Linked DNA regions of Cricetulus griseus. The main gene of each other region encodes a partner of the protein of the gene in region 3 in a complex. Links are inferred from orthologs where the notes say so. Each region holds a gene or a part of one and is shown on either strand. Other genes may lie near its edges.

The links.
Region 1: the proteins of Ints11 (region 3) and Brat1 are in contact, whole or in part, in a cryo-EM structure (PDB 8UIB), measured with the Homo sapiens proteins. The link is inferred for Cricetulus griseus from reciprocal best matches to the Homo sapiens genes INTS11 and BRAT1. Residues at the interface, in NP_060341.2 of Homo sapiens: Leu9, Val15, Gly16, Lys27, Met35, His36, Met37, Gly38, Phe39, Arg43, Asp47, Tyr50, Thr58, Asp59, Asp62, His70, Leu71, Asp72, His73, Asp87, Gly88, Gln97, Pro101, Ile102, Glu105, Arg108, Lys109, Val112, Asp113, Lys114; in NP_689956.2 of Homo sapiens: Asp25, Thr27, Cys28, Glu30, Lys31, Asp34, Pro117, Ser156, Ser157, Leu158, Phe159, Ser162, Lys358, Ser359, Cys366, Arg367, Arg424, Arg427, Thr465, Lys468, Lys469, Trp514, Glu515, Asp518, Ser519, Glu522, Tyr560, Ser564, Ser604, Glu605.
Region 2: the proteins of Ints11 (region 3) and Wdr73 are in contact, whole or in part, in a cryo-EM structure (PDB 8R22), measured with the Homo sapiens proteins. The link is inferred for Cricetulus griseus from reciprocal best matches to the Homo sapiens genes INTS11 and WDR73. Residues at the interface, in NP_060341.2 of Homo sapiens: Tyr206, Thr208, Thr209, Ile210, Arg211, Asp212, Ser213, Arg215, Cys216, Arg217, Glu218, Arg219, Asp220, Leu222, Lys223, Lys224, His226, Phe255, Arg258, Met259, Leu364, Val384, Glu385, Tyr386, Ser388, Lys418, Lys419, Glu421, Phe422, Gln425; in NP_116245.2 of Homo sapiens: Asp5, Asp6, Leu8, Val9, Ser11, Leu12, Tyr15, Gln16, Phe18, Tyr19, Ala20, Phe21, Asp22, Leu23, Glu50, Leu52, Arg59, Leu68, Phe69, Pro70, Glu71, Arg72, Asp73, Phe74, Lys75, Val76, Gly79, Phe81, Asp116, Ser117.

What each region holds. Positions count from the first base shown.
Region 1 is NC_048597.1:77,313,651-77,321,040, reverse strand, and holds part of Brat1 (BRCA1-associated ATM activator 1), read right to left. Parts: intron 4,467-7,390; coding exon 4,312-4,466; intron 3,235-4,311; exon of another isoform or gene 3,070-3,234; intron 2,972-3,069; coding exon 2,824-2,971; intron 2,393-2,823; coding exon 2,020-2,392; intron 1,843-2,019; coding exon 1,723-1,842; intron 811-1,722; coding exon 719-810; intron 536-718; coding exon 417-535; intron 342-416; coding exon 155-341; intron 1-154. UniProt on the Homo sapiens protein: Component of a multiprotein complex required for the assembly of the RNA endonuclease module of the integrator complex.
Region 2 is NC_048596.1:116,665,983-116,673,472, forward strand, and holds the start of Wdr73 (WD repeat-containing protein 73), read left to right. Parts: upstream 1-2,747; 5' UTR 2,748-2,788; coding exon 2,789-2,829; intron 2,830-3,269; coding exon 3,270-3,337; intron 3,338-3,541; coding exon 3,542-3,630; intron 3,631-5,268; coding exon 5,269-5,357; intron 5,358-5,874; coding exon 5,875-5,939; intron 5,940-7,490. Other genes in the region: Nmb (neuromedin-B), read left to right, coding at 1-7, 1,578-1,712. UniProt on the Homo sapiens protein: Component of a multiprotein complex required for the assembly of the RNA endonuclease module of the integrator complex. Associates with INTS9 and INTS11 in the cytoplasm, stabilizing the INTS9-INTS11 heterodimer and blocking the active site of INTS11.
Region 3 is NC_048595.1:410,595-418,084, forward strand, and holds the start of Ints11 (integrator complex subunit 11), read right to left. Parts: upstream 4,439-7,490; 5' UTR 4,298-4,438; coding exon 4,270-4,297; intron 1,738-4,269; coding exon 1,640-1,737; intron 1,204-1,639; coding exon 1,130-1,203; intron 1-1,129. Other genes in the region: Cptp (ceramide-1-phosphate transfer protein), read left to right, coding at 7,052-7,173, 7,407-7,490.

The DNA.
Region 1 (7,390 bases), on a different chromosome or scaffold from region 3:
CCTGAGTGCAGGGGTTAGATGCCTGAGAGAGTGCAAGGGTGAGATGCCTAAGTACAGGGGTGAGATGCCTGAGTGCAGGGCTACATGAGAGCCTGTGGGACTACAGAAAAAAGAAGAGAAAATGGAACTCAGGTTAAGAGGAAACATCACTCACTTGTTCCCTGAGACAGTGTCCCCAAGAAGTCAAGGGCTGCTCTCTGGACACGAACACAGCCTCCTAGAGTCCCACAAAGACGGCCTCCCATACTGGAGCTGGGGTCCACTGAGCCATCACAGAGACGCAATATGGTCACTGTAGCTCCCAGGAGGGGCACCTGGGGCCAGGGGCAGGGGCACTGGGGCTGCAGGGAGAAGCATGAGTTAATAGAGGCCTGGGGTCATATGACCTGATGGACACTGGCCCGGGCTGCACCTACCAGCATCTGTAGCTCCTCTAAGTGAGCCAGGGTCTGGCAGAGGAGTCCCACACAGGCCGACTTAGATGACAAGAGAGCATCCACAGTCAGCGAGCTACCAGCAGTCCCGTCCAGCAAGCCTGAGGCCAAGAACAACAGCATCCCTGTAGTGAACACTATATACAGCAGGAGCCAGGTCTCAAGTTCAGGGCCAGGGCTCATCAAGGACGCTGTCCACCTGTACTTAGTTGAGGGGTCTGGGTAGGATTAGGGCAGCTCACTCTTCTTTGCCTAAGGATGGAGGTTCCACCCTCCCTGCATACCTGGAGGTCCAGGGGCCTGAGTGGTAGCTTTCAGGATACAGGCCAGAGGCTGGAGGAGGACTCCAAAGGCCTGGGTTCTCAGTTCCTGGGGACTGAGGACACAGTACACGGTAAGGGTTATACTCTGGCAGCAATATGAACATCCTCAGTTAATTTATGGTGACTCAGTACAAGCAAGTATACAATTCCTCTGCAAGCTACTACTTAAGGATCAGGATGGGACAGAAGGCCAACCAAGGCAATCACTAGGTCTCAGGGTCCCCAGAAGGGCTGGTCACACTCCCTGATCGGAGTGACAGGCAATTTTCAGGCTCCTAAGGTAGTACCCCAGTGTGCTCATGTTGTGTTCAAAGACCTGAAATGTCCTTTTACACATTCTATGATGGACCATCCTGGTGTTCTGGGCCTGCTCAGACACTCAACACCCTTCCTCCCTGCATCCCACACGCAGCAACCCATATCTCTGCACACCCCCTGGAGTAGACACTATGGGGCTCCAGGAGCCTGGCTCATCCATAGTAGAGGTCAGAGAACAGCTACACATTGCTCAGAAGTTAGCTTTGGCTTTGGGGGCACCACAAAACTTTTGTTTCAAAAGTTATGTCTCTTGCTCAGTATGGTGGAGCATGTCTGTAATCCAAGCTGAGGGCTGAAGTATGGCTCAGAGGTAGAGCATCTGCCTAGAATCTCCCAGTGAGGAACTGGGGTTGTAGCTAGGTGGTAGAATACCTGCCTAGAATCCCCCAGTGAGGGGCTGGGGGCATGGCTCAGTGGTAGAGTACTTGACTAGCATGTATGAAGTACTGAGTTCCACACCAAGTACTGAGAAAGGAAAAGAGAAGGAAAGGGGAGGAGGAGAGAGGGACAGAAGGAGGCAACTATTGCTTTCATATCTGCCCATCCTACCTGCCTGCTCTCCCACCTGGCCTATGTTCACATCTGGCTTCCCAGTTTCCAAAGTTTCCCAACCATTAGTGTAACACTCTCAGCACCCCCAATCATACCAATGCTGAAGTTTCAGGGTCCCCAAGGCTAGAGGCCCAGCTTGTGTGGGACTCAGGCGGCTCAGAGTCTGGGCCAGCATCTCCCACAGACCACAGGCTGCAAAATTCAACACATGGGACCTACAGAAAGAAAAACCACTCCTCCATCAGTGCCTAACTAGACAGTTGCAAACATGCTCAGTCCTGAAGATACCATCCCTTGAGGTGACAGTACTAGGGTCCTCCTCATGAAGCATCAGCTGCTCTGAGACTTCACAGGCAAGTACCACTCACCCTCAGCCCCTGCAGCCACCTGACCTGGCTACGCTGAGCAGGAGGTCCATGAGCGAATGTACAGCTGGAATGGGGTCTCTCTCAAACAGGCAGGCAACAGGGGGACTCAGTCGCCCCCAGAGGACCCCTGTCCAGGGGCTATGGCAGCGCCCAAAGGTGGTGGTCAGTACATTCAAGGCCTGTGTGACCTGTGGGGTGGCTTTGGAATGCAAGGACTCTTCCACGTGGTTCACAATCTTCTGGGCACAGATAGGCCAGGCAGCAGCTTCTGAGATGGGGGACCCTGAAGCCCCACCTTGCATGGCTAAAGCCAGGATGTGTACTAGGAGCTGGCTGGCTGCAGAGGCCACAAACAGGCTGGGGTCTCCCTGCAAGGCGAAGATCGTGTCCACAGCACCTGGAGTGGGCAGCGAAAGGTCAGCCTGAGTGAGGAAGCATGCAGAGAGTACCTTGTCTCTGTCACACCCTTCCAGGCCTCAGGGAGAGCACCAGACTCCCCTCTGCTCACAAGCAAAGTCAACATGAGCCTCCAGCATGCTGGCTTTAAAGTCAACATAGCTTTTAACCAGTTCTAATTTGTTTCAAGGACAAACTCATGACTGCTTGACAATACACTACTGCGGGAGCCACCCAGATCCTAGGAGTCAAAGATGACAATATCCCTATAATCATCTGTGCTTATCCTGACAACTCTAGACCACCACCACCCTTCCCCAGCTAAGAAGACTCGATTCAGAGGTTCAGGGGCTCCTTTAGAGATCCCACAGCACAGGCACTCGAAGAAAGAGTGGCCTATATGAACTGGGGAAGGGTGTGGGCTATACTCACCACTGTCAGCCAGGAAGTGCAGGGCGCTGGGGTGGTGTGCCAGGGAGCACAAGCCCTGGATCCAGCCACTGCGTACGCTGGGCATGTTCCAGGCTGTCCAGCTAAGGGCACCTGTCTCTCCAAAGAGCCCCAGCAACAACTCCCCCTGCTAAGAAGCAAAGAAAGCATCAGGAATGCAGAGGGAGAAGGCTTTTTGTTTTGTTTTGGTTTGTCAGGACTAGTGGAGCCAGGCTTGGTGGTACACACCTTTAACCCCAGAGGCAGAAGCAGGTTGGTCTCTTTGAATTCTAGCTCAGCCAGGGACACATGGTAAGACCTTATGTCAAAAATGAAAGCAGAGAGCTGGAAAGATGGCTCAGGGTTTAAGAGCACTGGCTGCTCTGGTGAATCCAGGCCTAACTCCCAGCACCCACATGGTAGCCTGCCACTATTTAAAGCCCAGTTCCAGGAGATCTGATGCCTTCTTCTGACCTCCACAGGAACTGCATGCATGTGGTCCACAGACATACTGTAGGTATAAAAGAAAAATAAACACAGTGGTGTGGCGGCACACATCTTTAATCCCAGCACTTGGGAGGCAGAGGCTGGGCTGCATAGCAAGTTTTAGGACAGCCAGGGCTACATAGAGAGACACTGTCACAAAAGGCAAAAACAAAATACATAAAGTCTTGGTGGGAAAAAAAAAAAAAAAACCCTCAAACAACAAAACAAAAAAACCAACAGGATTGGTGGAGGCACCAATTGGTGCCACACAGCTGTTCCCAGGCCCAAGCACCATCACTCTGCCCTCATGAGAGTCACAGGAAGAATGAACAGGTTTTCTTTCCTCCTTCATCTTTCTTTGTAAGATTTTTATTATTTATTTGTCTGTTTTTCAATACAGGGTTTCTCCGTGTAACAGCTCTAGCTGTCCTGCAACTTACTTTGTAGACCAGGCTGGCCTCAAACTCAGAGATCCATCTGCCTCTGCCTCTGCCTCCCAAATGATAGGATTAAAGGCATACGCCACTATGCCCGGCCTGATTTTTATTATTTTTTAAATTATGTGTATACGTCTGAGTGTAGGTATGTACAGGAAATCAGGTGCCTGTGGAAGCCAGAAGAGGGAATCAGATCCCTTGGAGCTGGCAGGTGGAGTCACTACATGTGGACCACTCTGTTCTTTCCCCCATGCAACCAATCCATGACTATGCTGCAGACAAAGCACCCGGAGTGTCCTCCAACCCTCACATGCCCATCAGAAAGAGAAGCTCAGAACGTGGCAAGGATCACACAGACGGTGATAATGGGAAGCCTGCCAGCATCATCCCTAGCCAAGTGTTTCCAAGTAGGAGCAATATGGGGTGATGTTGGGATTGAAATCCTGATACACAGGCCAGCCACAGGAGCAGGGCCAGCCACTGACACCCACGTCCTGAGATGGCTCCTAATCCAGAGGGAAAGGATGCCCACCCCTAAGGGGACAACACATGGGAGAAAAAGGCTCACCTGAAGGTACTGGAAACAGTCCTCCTGGGCTGCAAAGATGCCAACAAGGCGTAGAACAAAGGAGAGGACCCTAGGGCTCACATCCTGTGTTTTCAGCACATGGGACAGTAGCTCCATTAGGCAGGGGTGGTCCTGCAGCAGATGGAGGCTGGACTCTGTAGACACAGGACATCCCAAGACAGCAATGACCAGGGAGAACCTCTCTAGAAGTAGCTCACATATCCCTAACCCTCAGGATTGAGTAGTCCCAGGAGGAGGGGTTTTTGCAACAAATAGCTCTTAACCTATTAAGGAGACCTCCCCCAAAAGCCAATGACTCAGCAGTAAATAAAAGATACAGACAAGAACCATAAAGACAACAAGTAAAGAGCTGGGGCTGTAATTCCACATAAAGCACCTGCCTAGAATTCCCCAGTAAGGAGCTGGGGGTTTGGCTCAGTGGTAGAGCATCTGCCTAGAACCTCCCCAGTAAGAGGCTGGTGGCTTGGCTCAGCAATAAAATACTTGTCTACTTCTATTATCATTAAAGGGAAAAAAACGGAAAAAAGAAAGAAGAGTGACTGAAAGAAAGAGAGAGAAAAGAAATGAAATAAATAAGGAGCCATTAAAGACAACACTACATAAAAAAATTGAATTTACAATCTCAGGGCAACACTTTTACACACCTCCAAGAAAGAATTGAGGGACAGATTGTCAAACACAGCAGATGTGAATGGTGAAGGCCAATCTAATGAACAAAAGTGAAAACTGTTCACTCCAACATGTGGAACATTTTCTTTTTTTTTAAGGCGGGGTCTCTTGTAACCTAAGTTAGCTTTGAATATGTTATATAGCTGAGGATGGCCTTGCACTCCTGATCTTCCCACCTCCATCTTCCAAATGCTGACACTATAGGTATGTCACCAGACCTTTTTTTTCCCTTTTGGTGGGAGAGGGCCAGTTTTAGGGACTGAACCCAAGGGCCTCAAGTGTGGTGGGCCCACTGAGCTACTTCCCAGGGCCTTTTGTTGTTGTTGTTGTTTTGGGGTAGTTTGTTTGCTTGTTTTTACAAAGTCTAGCCCAGGTTAGCCTTGAACTTGCCAGGCAGCTAATGCTGACCATGAGCTCCTGACCCTCCTGCCTTTGCTTCCCAAGTGCTCTGCCACACTTGGCTACCAGCCCTGCCACTCGTTTTCAACAGCATCTTCCTAAGTTGCCTCAAACTCACTGTGCAGCCCAGACCATAATCCTCCTGTCTCAGCCCCAAGTAAGTGGGCTAACAGGCCTGCACCAACAGGCACAGCTCCATCATGTGGAACATTTTAAAAATTGAGGGGCCAGGCATTGGTGGTACACACCTTTAATCCCAGCACTCAGGAGGCAGAGGCAGGTGGATCTCTGTGAGTTCAAGTCCAGCCTGGACTACAGAGCGAATGCCAGGTCAGGCTCCAAAGCTACACAGAGAAACTCTGTCTCGAACTCCCCCTAAAAATAAAAATTAAAAATTGAGGGAAATTGGGGGTGAGGTGGGAGGAAGAACTGTCTACCAAAGGACACCTAGCTATGGGGGGAACAAAAAGTTACAAAATGAGACTAGACACCTCCTAAGTTGACTAAAACCCAGTAAACTGGCACACTTCATTTCCAATCATTTATTTTATTTTATATACAATTTCGAGACAGAGTGTCCTTCTGTAGCCCAAGCTGGCCCTGAATTCACTATGGAGCCCAGACTGGCCTCAAACTTGCAACACTCCTGCCTCAGCATCCCAAATGTTGGGATTACAGATGTGAGTCACCATGCCCAGCTGAACAGGTAAACTTTAAATAGGTGGACTCTGTGACATGTAAATCATATCTCCATAAAGATGTTTAGAAATACTTGCAGGTCAGATGTGGCAGCACACACCTTTAAACATGGCACTTGGGAAGCAGAGGCAGGAAGACCTCTCAGTTCAAAGCCAACTTGGTCTGAATGGTGGCCTGGACTACACAGCTGAACCCTGCCTCCAAAGAAACAACAACAAACCAAACTTGTGAAAGGGGCTGGGGAGATGGTTCCTTGGATAAGGCAGGCACTGCATGAGGACCTGAGTTTGAATTCCCAGCACTCACATAAAAGCCAGGCATGTGTCTGCATGCCTCTAATTCTAGAGTTGGGGAAGGGGTAGAGACAAGCAGATCCCAAGAACTGCCTGGCTAGCCAGCCTAGTTTCCTGTAACTTCAGGTTTAGTAACAGACTTTATCTCATGGCAATTGGTGGAGAGTGATGGTAGAAGATGTCTAATATCCTGCTCTGACCTTCGTATGTAGATACCTGGGTATGCATGCAAAACACACACACACACACACACACACACACACACACACACACACACACACACACACACACACACACACAATCCTGCAAAATTACTTGCAAAAACTTGACTAAAAAGTAGGCTTCAAAGTCTGGAGAATGGTTCAGTAGGTAAAATTTTCTGTGCAGGGCTAGAGTTCAGATTCCCAGAACCAATAAAAATGCTGGACAGGCAGCACTCCAGAGACATAGATAGGTGACCCTCAGCTGTCCTGTTAGAACACCCAAACGGACAAGCTCTGGGTTCAAGTGAAAGAGAAAGGGAGACCCTGCCTCAGTATGTGTATGTTATACATATGTAAACACACACATATCACACATCAGCACCTTTAATCCCAACACTTGGGAGGCAGAGGCAGGTGGATCTCTGAGTTCCAGGCTAGCCGGGTCTACAGAATGAGTTCTAGGACAGCCAAGACTGTTACACAGAGAAACCCTATCTCAAAAACATAAAACAAACAAAAGAAAACAGGGAAGACAAAACACACACAAAAAACATAAATGCTGGGGATATAACTTCATTGGTAAATTGATCGTCTGCCATGCAGGAAGCCCTGGCTCCATCCTCAGCATCCAATAAAAACAGTGAGTGATGGTTCACACCTATGATCCCAGCACTCAGCCACAGACAGGAGAACCAGAGGTTCCAGGTCATCCTTGGCTACAGAGTGAGTTTGAAGACAGCCTAGGCTACATTAGATCATGTCTCAAATGCAAAAAAAGAATAGCAAACCAAGGAA
Region 2 (7,490 bases), on a different chromosome or scaffold from region 3:
AATTCAGGTGAGCCTCTACCCCAGTACCAACATGGAAGAATTGTCACCCAGCTTGGGTTCAGGGTGGGACTGCCTAGCCAGGATGTAATATGCATGGATTCTAGAAAGTCAGGGTCTCAGGGCTCAAAGGGGAAATATCCCAAAGACCAGAAAATGACGCAGCAAACTGCTTGGGAAAGAAGTTCCTCTTTGCCCATCCCCAGTCTGAAGTCACAGACTAGGATATCCTTGCCTTTGAACAGACTGTCCTCCTCCATGCCACACAGCCTTGTCCATCCCAGTTGTCATCTGCCTTTGCTGTTCCAGTCTGCCTGTGGTCTGACCTGTGACCTCTGAGCCCTAGCGGTGCAAAGGGAACTCAGAACCAGCCTACTTCCCATCTCCCTGTCCATCCCCCTGTCCAGTTACCAATGGCAGGCTTTATCATGTCAGTGCTCTCGACAGTCTAGGCTCTGGGGGCTGTCCTGTGCATTTAGGATGCTAAACACATCCCTGGTCTCCACCTACCTGACGCCACTAACACATTCTCTCTCCTCACCAAGTTGTGATAACCAAAATTCCCTCCAGGTCACAATGGTGCACTTGCCTGCAGTACCTGATACATCAGGAGGATGGTTTAAGACCAGGAGTTTGTGAGAAACAAAAACAAAAGAGTCTTTAGACACCAAGTTGATGTCCCCCAGGTGGAAGTGGCTGTAAAGCACTAACTAACCTGTGGTGCTCAAGCCCTTAGTGTCCTGCCTGGCTGGGTGGCAGCTCTTCCATTCTTTGCTTCTGGTACTGTCCCCACTGCACAGCACTCTCCCTTTACTTACTGCTGTGTGCAGAAGGCAGTGTGATGGGGTAGCATGTATGCTGGGGCCACATAGCTAGTTAGTAGTCAGGTGACCTTAGGAATGTCACTGAACTACTCACGCTCTTCATTGAATGGAAATAACAGACCCATTTATGTCACATGCACAGTGTGGTACACAGAAAGGTCTTGGTAAGCAGGAGCTCTTACTGCCTGTCTGCAAGCCCCTGGCAGTGCCTGCTGCTGACTCCCTTTGTAACACCCCACATCTGCCTAGCAGTGTGTGTATATGGAAGGAGAGACATTCCGTAGAGAAAGTCTACCTACAGTCCCAGCAAACATCCCAGAAATCTCAGATTCAAGAGCAAGAAGCTTGGACTGGCAGAGTCCAAAGAGACATAACATCACCTCTAGGATTATTTTGAAGGCCTGAAATACCAAGACCAACCAGAGACTCTCAGGGGAAGCAATACTGCCATGGCCAGTGGCAGGGAGCATCAGAGAGGTCTGGGGCAGAGTTTGGGGGAGGTAGAGGAATGTCGCTAACACTTGTCTAGTGCCTTGGACTTGATTTCTGTGGTGCCCTTTAATTGTCATGACCACCCTGAAATCAGTGCCATAATCTGGGAAAACCATTACCCCTGACTCGTCTCAGGCCTTTCAGGGAGAAAGGTACTCACTCAGAGACCCAGCAGAGAGCATGCCCCCCCCCCCGCCACTTCTGTGCATACAGCATATCCCTATGATGTGTGGGTCAAGCCTTCTCCTTTTGTCTTCAGTACAGGAGGCTGCTGGAGCCAATACTGAAGAAGTGATGCCAATAATGGGACCAACACAACAACATGGCTTAGAATGTGTCCATCCAGGCAAGCTGCTGAATGCAACCCCAGGAGTGGCCCCATCTGGATGTAAATTCTAAGCTCCAGTGTGTTACTCCTTTGCTGAGATTTCTGGTTGGGTCACCTGGAATCTTGATGATGCAGACACAAAGTCTTTCCTGCTGTAGTTCTTGCTTCCCTGGTGAAGTTGTGAATAAAAACCCTGCTCTTTACACAGAATGTCTGGGCATCTTCTTCCACACACTTTTGAAGAAAGGGGAAAGGACTCTGAAGGGTGGTGTGTTTGTTGAGATGGGGTGGTCTTGGAAAAGCTCCATCACCCTTCACCATGGTGCCAACCAGGCAATGAATGATTGTCAACTTTTGGCAATCAGGTACTCTGTTCACGGGCCCATTGTCATTTCTACTACCTAAAATTTCTTTGCCTGAGATGGGGAGCTGCCTACACCATGCTACACTCACCCCATCTTTCATCCCAAGCTTTAGTGTGCTGGAATCCAGCCCTGCTGTTTTCTGGTTCTTCTCTGGATGTAGGAACCTCTCTGTAGGCTGCCAAAGTTATCGAATAAAAATGAGAGTGTCAGATACTTTATTGATTGGTACAGTGTCTTGTGTAACGTAGACTGACCTCGAACTCCCTATGTAGCACATGAGCACTGGAATTACAGGTGTGCGCCTCCATGCCAGGAGTGTTTATGCGGTACTGGAAAGCGAGCTTCAAGCATGCTAGGCAAGCACTCTAGCTACATTCCTAGCCCAACAAAATTTCTTTCATTAAAAAAAAAAAAAACCTAAAGTATCCTTCACGGGCACATTCACGCGAACTTTTAAATTAACTGTTCACCTTAAGTTCCAATTAAGTCTGTATTGTACCTGGCTTTGGGACACTTGACAGCTCTTTGGCTGCACAAACTTGATCCTAAAACGGGGCATGTTTGATGTCTCCGGCCCTGCTTGGAGCTGACATCCAAGAATGTCTGTTTCTGCGTCGTTTTTTACCCGGAGTCTGCCCACAGAACCCGGGAAACATGAGGGCTTCGCGCAGCTCCGAGCGCTGCCTGCACCGCTAGGCGGGAGACCACGCCCTCTCGCGAGAGTGCGTGCCCGCCCCGGAAGTCGAACTGACGGAAGTGGAGCGAAGGAAGCGGCAGTTGCTATGGAGCTCGCGGAGGACTGGCTAGTGGAGTCTTTGCGCTTGTAAATCGGGCCGTGGGCGGGTCTGGTGGGCAGTAGGCGAGGGCGCGGGCAGCCCGGACCCGGTGTAGGCTCGCGGGCGGTGCTGATCCCCGGCCTCTCGTTCTGGGACACTCGGCCCTTCTGTAAGCAAGTAGTGGGACCAGGTGCTCACCCGGGAAGACTGGTTATGTTGCGCCGGCCTTTAAGTTAACTGAACACAGGTTTTCCAATTGATTGTTCACATCAACTTGGTGAAATAAACTTTGCGGAACCCCGGGAGTCCCACAGATTAAAACCATGGGTTGGTGCCTTGTCTTAACACACAGGAAGTAAAATGCGGAAAAAAGACCCAGTCCCAGAACCTGGGTCCACTAATTCTGCAGTGATCTCAGAGTTTTTGGTCAGCTGTACAGTGTCGTGCACCGTGTGATTTTTTTTTTTTTTAAATCTCTCTACTGCAGGTACCAAGATTTCCATGCATTTGACCTCTCAGGAGCCACTCGAGTGCTTGAATGGATTGGTGAAAAAGGTAATATACCCAGCCTGTCTCTAAAGGAGATGGCTTTCTGCCCTTGGGCAGAATTTTAAGGCCTCAGCCTTTTGAGAGACCCATCCAACTTCCATGGGAGCCAACTAGTGAACTGAGAGGAAATTTATCCTTCGGGAGAATTTATAAATCCAGCTGTAATCCACGATATTTCTGACAATTATCATAGTTACTGTTATGTTTCAGGAGTGTTTGTTGCTGGTTATGAGAGTTCGAAGAAAAATGAGATTCTTCATCTGATACTACCTCTCAGACTCTCTGTGAAGGAAAACCAGGTAACTTAAACAGAGAGGGAATATAAGGGAACTTGTACGTAGGCCTTTCTGGAGTGCCTGTTACCCACCAGGTACTGTCCCTGATAAGCTCTGGGTCTGTCTGTCCTTAAAACCTAGCAGAAGGAAGCTCCTATGCATAGGGATGAATGCCAAGGAAAGTCATGTGCTTCCTGAGAAAGCTGCTACAGATGACTGTATCAAAAAATAGATGTAGGGAGCTGGAGAGATGGTTCAGGGGCTGAGAGCACCTGCTGCTCTTCCAGAGGACCTGTGTTTGGCTCTCAGCACCCACGTTGCAGCTCACAACCTTCTATAACTCTTGTCCCAGGGCACCCGGCACCTTCTTCTGGCCTCCAAGGTACCAGGTGTGCATGTGGTGTTCAGACATGCATGCACGCAAAACACCATACCCGTAAAGAATTTTTAAACATAGATGTAGGGGCTTGAGAAGCAGCCCAATGGTATAGAACTCACATAACATGAGCAAGGTCTCTTTGTTCAATCTTCACAGCATCACACACACACAAAATAGATTAGGGAGCCATTAGGGAAACCATATGGATGGGTAAGATCACCTAGGATGAAGGTGTGAGATCTGAGAAGGCCTCTGCCTCCTGAGTGCTGGGATTAAAGGCGTGCGCCACCAACGCCTGTCTTAGGGAATAAATTTAAATGATGCAAAGAAAGAATAGTCTTTGAAGTTAGAGGAGAATCTGTGAGTGGTTAACTATGCAAATATAGTTATTGGCTGCTACTACCACTAGCCAGCCAGGGCTACACAGTGAGAACTTATCTCAAAAAAGAAGAAAGAAGAGGAGGAGGAGGAAAAGAAAAAAGTTGAAGAAGAAGAGAAGAAAAAGAATTAAATGTGCCTGATAGAGTGAATACTTGTTAAGTGGTTGTCTTGTCTCTGTTGCTAGAGGAACCCACCTGGCTCCTAGTGGGAGGGTGAGTGGTTGGCAGTGGCAATCCTTGCTTTCTTGGCTGAAGCTGTTTTCTTCTGTTATTCCCAGGAAGGCTCAGCATGTTTTTGCCCCTTCTGAGAAGGATGAGACAGGCTAGAAGGCTTGGAGATGGGCAGGAAGATAAAGAAACTGGACATATAGACATTTACAGACATCTGCCGGCCAAGGTCCGGCTGAGTAACTCTCATGGCCTCCTTCCCTGGCACTCATCTGAGGTGTTTGAAAAGCAGGTGCTCAGGGCTGGAGAGATGGCTCAGTGGTTAACCACTGGTGGCCCTTCTAAAGGACCCAGGTTCAATTCTCAGTACCCACATGGCAGTTCAAAACTGTCTGTAACTCCAGTTCCAGGGGGATCTGCACCCTCACACAGATACACATACAGGCAAAACCCCAATGTACATAAATAAACCTCAAAATAAAAATAAATTTTAAGGAAAAAAAAAAAGAAAAGCAGGTGCTGAGCTCAGCGGTGGTGGCGCACACCTTTAATCCCAGTGCGGCAGAGGCAGGCGGATCTCTGTGTTTGAGGACAGTTTGGTCTACAGAGTGATTTCCAGGATAGCCAAGGCTATTCAGAGAAACCCTATCTTGTTAAAAAAAAAAAAAAGAAGAAGAAGAAGAAGAAAAGAAAAATTCAGTGCTGTCTGATTGCCCCCACCCTTTTGTGTTTTAGGGTTTATTTCCAGAGAGAGATTTCAAAGTGCGCCATGGAGGATTTTCAGACAGGTCTGTCTTTGACCTAAAACACGTGCCAGATACCAGGTATGGCTAGTCTGTGTCCCATACCTTCTGTTCTGTTGGGATGACAGGAAGTGCTCGAAGTGTTATGTCTTCTTACCACCATGCCCACTTCTCAGTCTCCAGACGTAGGTGGGGTGCACAAGGGGCTGGGGCACACATAGATTTAGTGTATGAAGAAACCATTAGCTTAGCAGCCATTTTGAGTAGTGGAGCCACCAAGTCTCTGGAGTTGCTCCAGGGACCAAATACAGAGTGGAAAATTCTCTGGAGCTTCTCGGAGAGCTGTCTCAGTCAGGGTTATGTGTTCAGGCTCCCCACCTGTGTCCTTTCTAGGTGGCCATCATGACCTGTGGAAGCCTGGGCTCGGTCTGTGGCTCTCTCTGAATTGTGATCCTGTCCCTAAAGCAGGGTGAGCCTGCTCCTATGTTGAATGAGGGTAGCTGGTCCCAGGGATCCTGAGTGGGCTGGAGAGGAAAGGCTGCCAGGGTGAGGGTGAGCTTCCCTCTGTCTGGACTGATTTTCTGTCCCTCTGGAACAGGTTGCTTGTGACCACTGGCCTTCCAGGGTGTTACTTACAGGTGTGGCAAATTGGAGAGGACAATGGTGAGTGAAGTTCACTTGGTGGAAGTTGAGGTTTTAGGAAAGCCACTCATGTTCCTGTCCCTTATGCTGAGTCACTGAAGAAGCCTGTAAGGGAGGGGACAGGGGACAGCACAGCTTCTGTCTGCTTTTGCACAGCAAAGATGAGTTAGCATCCATAGGGTGGCAGATAGGCATAAATGCTGCAGCTTTGAACTTCCTCCAGGAATTGAGTTTACCAACCCAGCCACTGGCAAAGCACCTAGAGAGCCAGGGCCTCTCAGCTGGGCAGGTTCAGAGGAAGGGCTGAGCTAGGGCCACTCAGAAGCACCCAGCTGGAGGAGGAGGAGGAGGAGGAGGCAGCAGCATCGAAGAGGTTCAGGGGAAGGAAAAGAGCAAGTGAGAGAGAGGCTCACTGGCAGTCTACCCGGAGATCACACTACTTCTCAAGGGCACAGAGAAGGAGCAGGAAGTCCCCTGGGGAGACTAGCAATGGGAATGCAGGTCCCTGTCAGCAGTCACCAGAGCATGTATCCCTCTAGCCTGATCCAACCCTCGCCAGGGAGAGACACCTCACAGCCATCCCACACTGTGGCAAAGCTTCCTACAGTCAGCACAGAGCTTTACTTCTCCCAGGCCTCACTGCTGCCCAGGGGATGCTGTTGAGCTCATCCCTGACCCTGTGCCTGTCCTTGCCACTTGTCTGTGTGGTCCTTCCCAGTTCCTTGTGTTGCTTCCCTATATATGTGGTAGGTTTTTGATGATGCTGCTGTTTAATGATTTTATTGAGGTATGTTTTACCTGCCATATGATTCATCTATGTCAAGTGTATAGGTCAATGATTTTTTAAAGAAAATTTACCAACTTCTACAGCCATCACTGTAAATCAGTTTTAGAACATTTTTATCACTCCCAATAAGATCTGTTATGCCATTTACTGTTAATCTCACTCCTACACCCTGCCCCAGAAATCATTAATATATTTTTCTCTGTAGTAGATTTGCCTATTCTGAAAAAAGTCTTATCAGTGGAACGTTTCATGTATTCTCTTATATCTGGCCTCTGTCCCTTAGCATATGCTTTTTAAGACTGTCCATGTTATGGCATGCATCAGTAATTTGTTCCTTTTCATTGCTGATACTGTTCCTTTGGATGGGTATGGCAGATTTTATCTATTCCAGCCCTGATGTGCAAATCTTGATATGGAGATATATTGCTGGATTATGTGGTAAATTTATGAGGGTTTTTTTTTTTTTTCTTTTTTTTGGTTTTTCAAGACAGGGTTTCACTGTGTATCCTTGGCTGTCCTGGAAATCATTGGTCTTGAACTCACAGAGATCTGCCAGCCTCTGGTTCCTAAATGCTGGGATTAAATGTGTGCACCACCACTGCCTAGCAAGAGGCTGGATTTTTGTTTTATGTATGTATGTAATTATTATGGTACTGGGTAGAGAGGAAATCCAAGGCCTCAGATATGCCAGGCAAGTGCTTTGATGTTGAATTACATTCCAGCCCCTCCTGAATCTTTGAAATAGTCTCCCTTCCCACAGCTGATAACCCTTCCCTGGGTCAGAG
Region 3 (7,490 bases):
CTTTGTGAGTTTGAAGCCAGCCTGGTCTGCAAGTAGTTCTAGGACAGTTAGGGCTGACACACAGAAACCCTGTTTCAGAAAAAGAAAAGGAAAAGGAAAAGGAAAAACACAAGGGAGAGTAACACCTGAGGTTGTCTCTGGCCTCCTACACACTACATCTGAATCAGACGGAAACAAGTTGGTGAGGCCAGCAAATACAATAGCAGGAAAAGAGCCACTATCTGTCAGGTAGTCAGAAAGTCTTCCTGATGGAGGCAAGAGAGAATTGAGACTGCTCAGGGCAAGGCCTAGGAATATCCTTCCCAAAAAGAGTGGGGCCAGTCAACCCAAAGCAGGCAGGCAGTGAGTGATCCATGTCTAGAAGGGACCAAAACACCAGAGCCTGAGTTACTGAGAACACATCTTACCAAGATGGACTGTTTTAGGCCCAAAGGACCACTCTGGCTAATGGCAGCAGGATAGGTGTTGAGAGGGAAGTGCTACGGTCAGAATGTGGCCAACTAGGAGGTGACAGCAGGATTTGTGTTGAGAGGGAACAGTTGGCAGCCTATCTGGACAGAACATGAAAATGGGAGCCAAAGTGGGAAGAAAGATGTCTCCCTTGCTCAGCTCTACCGAGCTGAGGTGGTAGCAACTGGCAGCTAGACCATTAACTAGGACATCAGTAATGGCCAGTGAGCAACAGGGCTTAGCACTCTTGAGACAGCAAAGGAACAAGAGAAAAGGAGGCTTAAGGAACCAGAGTTAGAGGCTGGAAGAGGATGTAGAAGCAGAAATACACCAGATGTACTTAGCTAGTAAAATGGGAAGGAATTGGTGAGAGAGTACAATCACTGTTGCCAGGTACTGTTGGGAAAAGGTCTCATGGGGTCATCTAGGCTGGAGAGACCCATACTTAGCAGGTGAAGGGCACATCTTGGCACTGGCTACCCTAGTTAGGTCTCTTACTTCCTGGGGCACCTGCTAGGCTTTATGTCATGACACGAAAGGGCACAGCCAACAGGTACAATCATCTTCCTGGCTCTGAGGGGATAATGGCCACTCAAAAGAATGAGTCACAATGTAGCTTGGTTAACATAGCCTCTACAATAGGGTATAAAAAAGGACATCAAATTCCTGACAAACCTACCTGATGATTACACAGTCCAGAAAGTCAGTCAGCCGGCCACTCTGGGTGATGTAGGAAAAGTCTGGAAAGCGCCTCTGATGAGACAAAAGTGGGAACACAGCAGGCTACCCAAGGTTCAAGAAGCAAGAGTGGTGCACCCCAAGGAATGACCCCAGCAAACTCTTACATCAGTGGGTTTGCTATTGGCTATTCAAAACCTCATGGAAAGGTCAAGCTACTAGCTGACCTCATGAACAAGCAGCAAATAGCTGAGCCCAAAGGGTCCATATGACCAGTCTCAAGGATCCTCAAGAGGTTCATCTCAGCTGGTCTCTATTTTTCAAACACCATGTGACAGGGCCACCTGTCCCCACCCAGCATGGGTATAGCTGTCCAGGAATGCCCCCACTGCCCACTTGCCCCATCTGTCCCCTCTCTGAGGTCCCAGGATTCACATGGCTAGGCAGAGCATGACTAGAAAGTAGATTGTGGCCCTTGCTGCCCTCTGGACCACCCGCCCAGAGTACTCACGTCATCATTGTAGCCCATGTGCATCCCACAGTCCAACATGACATTCTTGCCCGAAATGGAGACCAGGATGCAGCTGCGGCCCACATCCTGGCCAGCCCCTGCTCAAGAAAGGTAGGTAAGAGACAAAGCCATGGCTCCTCCCTCACTTTTTCTCCACTTTCTTTCCCTCACTATTGGAAGGGCTGACCTCCACTGAACTACTTGTTACCGTTGGCTCTACAGGATCTAAGACTGTTGGGTAGACAGACACATGGGCTAGGCAACAGGTACCTTCACATGCAGATAAGAGGAATGCACAATGGGGAGACAAAGCACTATGCTAGGATCACATGCCCTCCCTTCTCTATGCTTTACTTCAAATCTCAAAGTTGCAACAAACTCCTAGCAGAGCATTAAGCACTGGCTGGCTGTGGTCCCCAACACTGAACAGAAGCAAGCCACAGCTACCTCTCTGTGGAATATCACTGTTGTTTCCCCAGACCTTAGTCCAATTACTCCTGACCCTCAATGGGGCTGCAAATCAATGAGGCTTCTTCCCTTGGATTTCTGCTTGAAGAAGCTGAGACCTGGATCCTGAGGTTTGGTGTTGAGTGGTATCATATCCACATGGCTTCAGCCCAGCCATAAAGAATCATGACTCTGACCAATAACTAGCTGCAGCACACATGGCCCACTTTAGTCAGTGTGCAGCACAGGCCCCATACCACTGAGCCCCTAGCTCAGCCTCAATAGGAGTTCCCCCCATGGTCTTGATGACTACCAAACCCTGCTAGCTATTCAGCCCAAGATACTGACCACACTTGACACACCTATCTTCCCCATTTAGCTGTTATCTCCCTGGAATCTGGGTTCATAAGAAGAGAGATACAACAGGAGTCTGAGAACAACAAACAGCCTTGTACCCATCTTGGATCCTATAGTCTCCATCTGCCAACTTCAAGCACCAAGCACTATCAGTACCACAAACATCACCCATGGCCCAGTCTGCCTTCCTTTTGTCGTCAGGCACAATGAGGCTGGGGATGAGTTGGCCTCAGGTTCTCCCGCAGGCCTGTTCCTACTACCTCCAGATGTGTGTTCCCTGAGGGAAAGTTCTTCGCGTCCTTCCCCATAGGACCTCTAGCCCTAAAGCTGTGTTAGGCCTTGAGACCCTTGAAACATTTATAGAAGGGAAATGGCTACACCCTTGCAGGGGAGGACCTCACATCACAGGCATCCATAATCACACACTACCAAGAATGGTGAAAAGGTATGCTTTTTGGAATTATAAAGTTCCAGTTCTTGTGAACTGGTAAATGTTGTCCCCAAAGAGACTTACAATTCCAAGAAAGAACAGAAGCCCACACTGCAGAGACATTAGACATGGGAGGAGACAAAACTGAGAAGAAAGCAGAAGATACTACCTTGTCAATACATCTCTGCACAATACAGATTTACATCCTTGGGGAATGAGGTGATTAGACACTGAGTACATCAGGTGGAGATTAAACAACTGTACCAAAAAGTTTCAGAACTGTGGCAGAAAACAAACTTTTCCTAGTGGGAGGGTAGGAGTCAGGGAGCTGGGTCTATGAATATGCTTGCTCTTATTTGATCATGTAATCTAATTAGTACCTAGATGGGATGGGGGTAGCCAGTATGAGAGGTTGCTCCTGCTAAGGTCCTGTGATGCAGTGAGTTGGGACTAAGTTCTAACCAAAATGGCCTAAGGATCTGGATCATATGAATGAGATGGTGCTCCAACACCTGACAACACATGCATGAGGAAAAGCCCAAGGAACATTCAGCAAGGTTCTAGAACCCCAGATCTCAAATGGTTGTTTCCTCCAACACACCATACTATGCTGTTAGGACTTTTAGAAGTCTAGACTTTTCTTTTTTCTTTTCTTTTCTTTTTTTGGCTTTTCGAGACAGGGTTTCTCTGTGGCTTTGGAGGCTGTCCTGGAACTAGCTCTTGTAGACCAGGCTGGTCTCAAACTCACAGTGCCTCTGCCTCCCAAGTGCTGCGATTAAAGGCGTGCACCACCACCGCCCAGCTAGATTTGTATTTTCTACCACGAACAAATATACTTTTTTTAAAATTCGGGATGGACCAGACACAAAGACTGAACTGAGGGGTAACAACAAGCAACCTGGGCACGATAAGCAGGTCGGGGAGATGGAAAGAAAAACAGAAGTGAGGAAGACGCCCAAGCAGAGGGAGTCTTGAAGCAGCAATCCACGTGCAGGACAGGAAAGTCGCCAGGACGAGTTCTGTGGTTCTGAATTTAACACCGCTAACAAGCTAAATACAGAGGCAACGCCTGCCCAAAACTCATTGCGCCTCACAGACACCTTGGGCTTCAGGGTCTCATTCTCGTCTCGCTGTTTGGCAGCCTACAGTCTAGGCACAGAAGCGGGGCCTCCATAACTCATACCGAGCCCCAGGGCCAGGAATCAACCCCAATCTCTTCGACCCCGGTGCCAGGCAGAGGTGAGGAAGCACCAACTCGGAAACGTTCCACCACACCTTTCGCTCCTTGGGACACACAGCTGGGGCTGACCGCTGGTTGTATTGCTAGACTGCTTGCTATGAAGGGACCGGCCCGACTCGCCGGACGCCGCAGAAGACGCTTCACACTCGGACTCACCCAAGGGAGTGACTCTTATTTCAGGCATCGTCCGGGAGGCAGTCTCGAACTGCGTTTCCACAGCCCGCGTGCACCGCCCGCAGGAAGGCCTCCACCTCGCGCGCGCGGCTTACCCCCCACGCCCAGCCACTGCGACTCCCACACAATACGGAGGGGGCAACTGCCAAGACGCCGGCTTCCTGTCCTCGCGCCGGAAACGCGGGCCGATAAGTCGAGTTCTAATTGGGTGATGAGCAGCCAATTGGGATGAAGTAGCAGCGAAGGGCGGGGCAGCGGCTGACCCTTGGGCTGCAACTCAAGACTTCTGCCCAACCGCAGGCTTCGAGCTGTCTCGGAACAGGCTCCGGGCGTGGGAGAAGCATAGGGACGCCTACCTGACGAGATCCAGGCCGCGGAGTCGCGCCTCTGTAGACAACCGGGACGGACGGGCAAAGATTCGGCTCCCACAGCAACCTTATTGTAACTTTGGTCAACTCTCCCCATCACTGACCTCTGCCACACCTTTGACACTTCGCCACAGGAATCCGTCCCAGGTGAGATTTGCGGACCTCCCTGAACGGCCTTGGCTCACTGCTACGCCTGGGTGTATATGCTGTGTGCTAGCTTGTGAGTTTTCTGCCGGCTGTCCACCCTGTCTAGCTTGATCTTCTGTAGGAGGCTTAGACGTATCCTGCATCACCTCCCGGGAGCTGACGAGTCGCCCTCCCTTCCTTTTCTTTCCAGTTTACCACGGACAGCAATAAGTGGCTACTTGACTCCTGGGTTAGGCTCTGAGCAGGAAGGCCTAGCTGCAGGATTGTTAAGTGGCAAAAAAAAAAAAAAAAAGAAAGAAAGAAAGAAAGAAAGAACTGTAGGAGGCTTCAGAGACTATTTGCTCAGTGGACAGCAAACAGGCCCTAAGAGAGGGTGTGTGGCAAGACTATGGGCGTCGCCATCTTTCTTAGGCTGTCCGTGACACCTGAACACAAGGTGAGCCCATCTCCAGGGTCAGGGTCTGGAATTTGTGATGGGAGTCCAGTCCAACCCATGGGACCGTATCACAACTGACAGCCTCAGTTATGGATCGGGAAACATTCAGACCACATTCCCAGAGCTGGAGCACTGAGTCATAGGACTGTCTGAAGAAAAAAAAAAAAAAAAAGAATTTGCACACAGATCCAGGTACCCTGGATGAGGATGGTTTTGGGGGGACTTTGATGGTACAGCAGTTAGGGAAGGGATCCAGCGCTAAGGGACACAGGAACCTGCAGAACTGGTGTTGAGTGTCCATGCTGGACATGGATGAGATGCAGCCACCTCCCACAGGCTTGATCCTGGACATAAAGTCATGGCTCTATGGTACCAGGGAAGGTGGGGGCTGGATGCTTGGAGTTATTCATTCATGGTGTGAGCACAAAAGGACCCATGGGGCACAAGCTTGTAGTTCTAGCTACTCAGGAAGCAGGAAGATTGAAAGTGAAAGCCTAGTCAGGTGTGATAACACATGCCTTTAATCCCAGCAATCAGGAGGCAGAGGCAGGCAAATCTGGGTTCAAGGCCAGCCTGGTCTACAGAGTCAGGTCCAGGACAGCCAGGATTACACAGAGAAACCTTGTCTCAAAACAACACATTAAAAAAATGCCTAATTTAGCCGGTCGGTGGTGGCCAACGCCTTTAATCCCAGCACTTGGGAGGCAGAGGCAGGTGGATCTCTGTGAGTTCAAGACCAGCCTGGTCTACAAGAGCTAGTTCCAGGACAGCCTCCAAAGCCACAAAGAAACCCTGTCTCGAAAAGCCAAAAAATAAAAAATAAAATAAAATTAGCCAGACAGTAGTGGTGCATGCCTTAAGATGCATGCCTTTAATCCCAGCACTTGGGAGACAGAGACATGTAGATCTCTGTGAGTTCAAGGCCAGCCTGGTCTACACACTGAGTTCCAGGACAGCCAGGACTATTACACAGAGAAACCCTGTCTCAAAAAAAAAAAAAATATGGGAACTAGCATGTTTGTGGAATGAACGTAAAAATGCCTACTGTATCCAGAGCCCCACCTTACCTTAGGGCCCCTTCCTATCCTAGATCACTTCCAGAATGTTCTATGGAGCTGATGGGAGGATTTATAGCAGTCCTTTGTGTGTGGTAAGACCTTTGGCCCAGCTACCCTGTTATTTGGGGATGCATACCATTTCAACAATAGGAGTGTCCATCTGTCTGTCTAGCAGATGCCAGCCCACAGCCTCTGATTTAATTTGGGGGATACAGCCCTGATCAAGGAAGGGAAAGCCTGTCTAGCCATCCTTTTACTCATCCCTGTGTGAGAATCACTTGTTTTTTTAAGAGTCCTGATCTTTGTTTTGGTACAGCTTCCCATCCGAATGCTGCCTTGATACAGTGAGTTCCAGGTATGGCCAGGGTCCAGGACTATGCCTCCCTTTTAGAAACATTACCCTAATGTGTGAAACAGATGCTCTAGGAAGAGAAGAAGCAGAAAAGCAAGAAGCAGTAGCAGATGCAAACAGTGCAGCCATGGGTTCTCAGGTCAGAAACTGACCAAATTACTAGCCTGAAGGGCCAGGAGCAGCCATGTCACGATCTGTGGGTACAGAATTCATCAAGGGTATAGCAAGGTCAGATTGGCTTGTGTGAGAGCTTGCAGCTCCTGAGGAAAACACTTGGGTAAAGGGATGATTCTCAGCAAAGAGTTTTAGAATCCCACTTTCACTTTCAGACCTTCTTGAGACTATAAACCAGAGTGAGATGACTACAAGCTCTGTGTGAAACTATTTCAGCTCATTGTGGAAGATGGATGGCCCAGAGACAGATTTCAACCTTAAAGTCGTCCTGATCAGCTTCAAGCAGTGTCTCAATGAGGAGGAAGAGGTGCTGCTGGACCACTATATCAACAGCTGGAAGGGGCTGGTCAGGTGCGTTTATTGGGGCTGCTGAAGATAGTGGTTTTGCCAGTCAGAGCTCACATGGGACACCAGCATTCCACATGGCACAGGAACATGGGAACAGCTAGCAGGCAGTTTCCTTCAGCCTCCCTGCCCTTGCCTCCAGACTAACAAGTGCTCTAGCAGATTCGAGGTAATATCTCCTCCACTACAGCATGACTGCCAGTCTAGGTAGGGCCTCAAATGTATACTTCCTTGCACAGGTTTCTGAACAGCCTGGGTGCCGTGTTCTCATTCATTTCCAAGGATGTGGTCTCAAAGCTGCAGATAATGGAGCACCTGAGGAA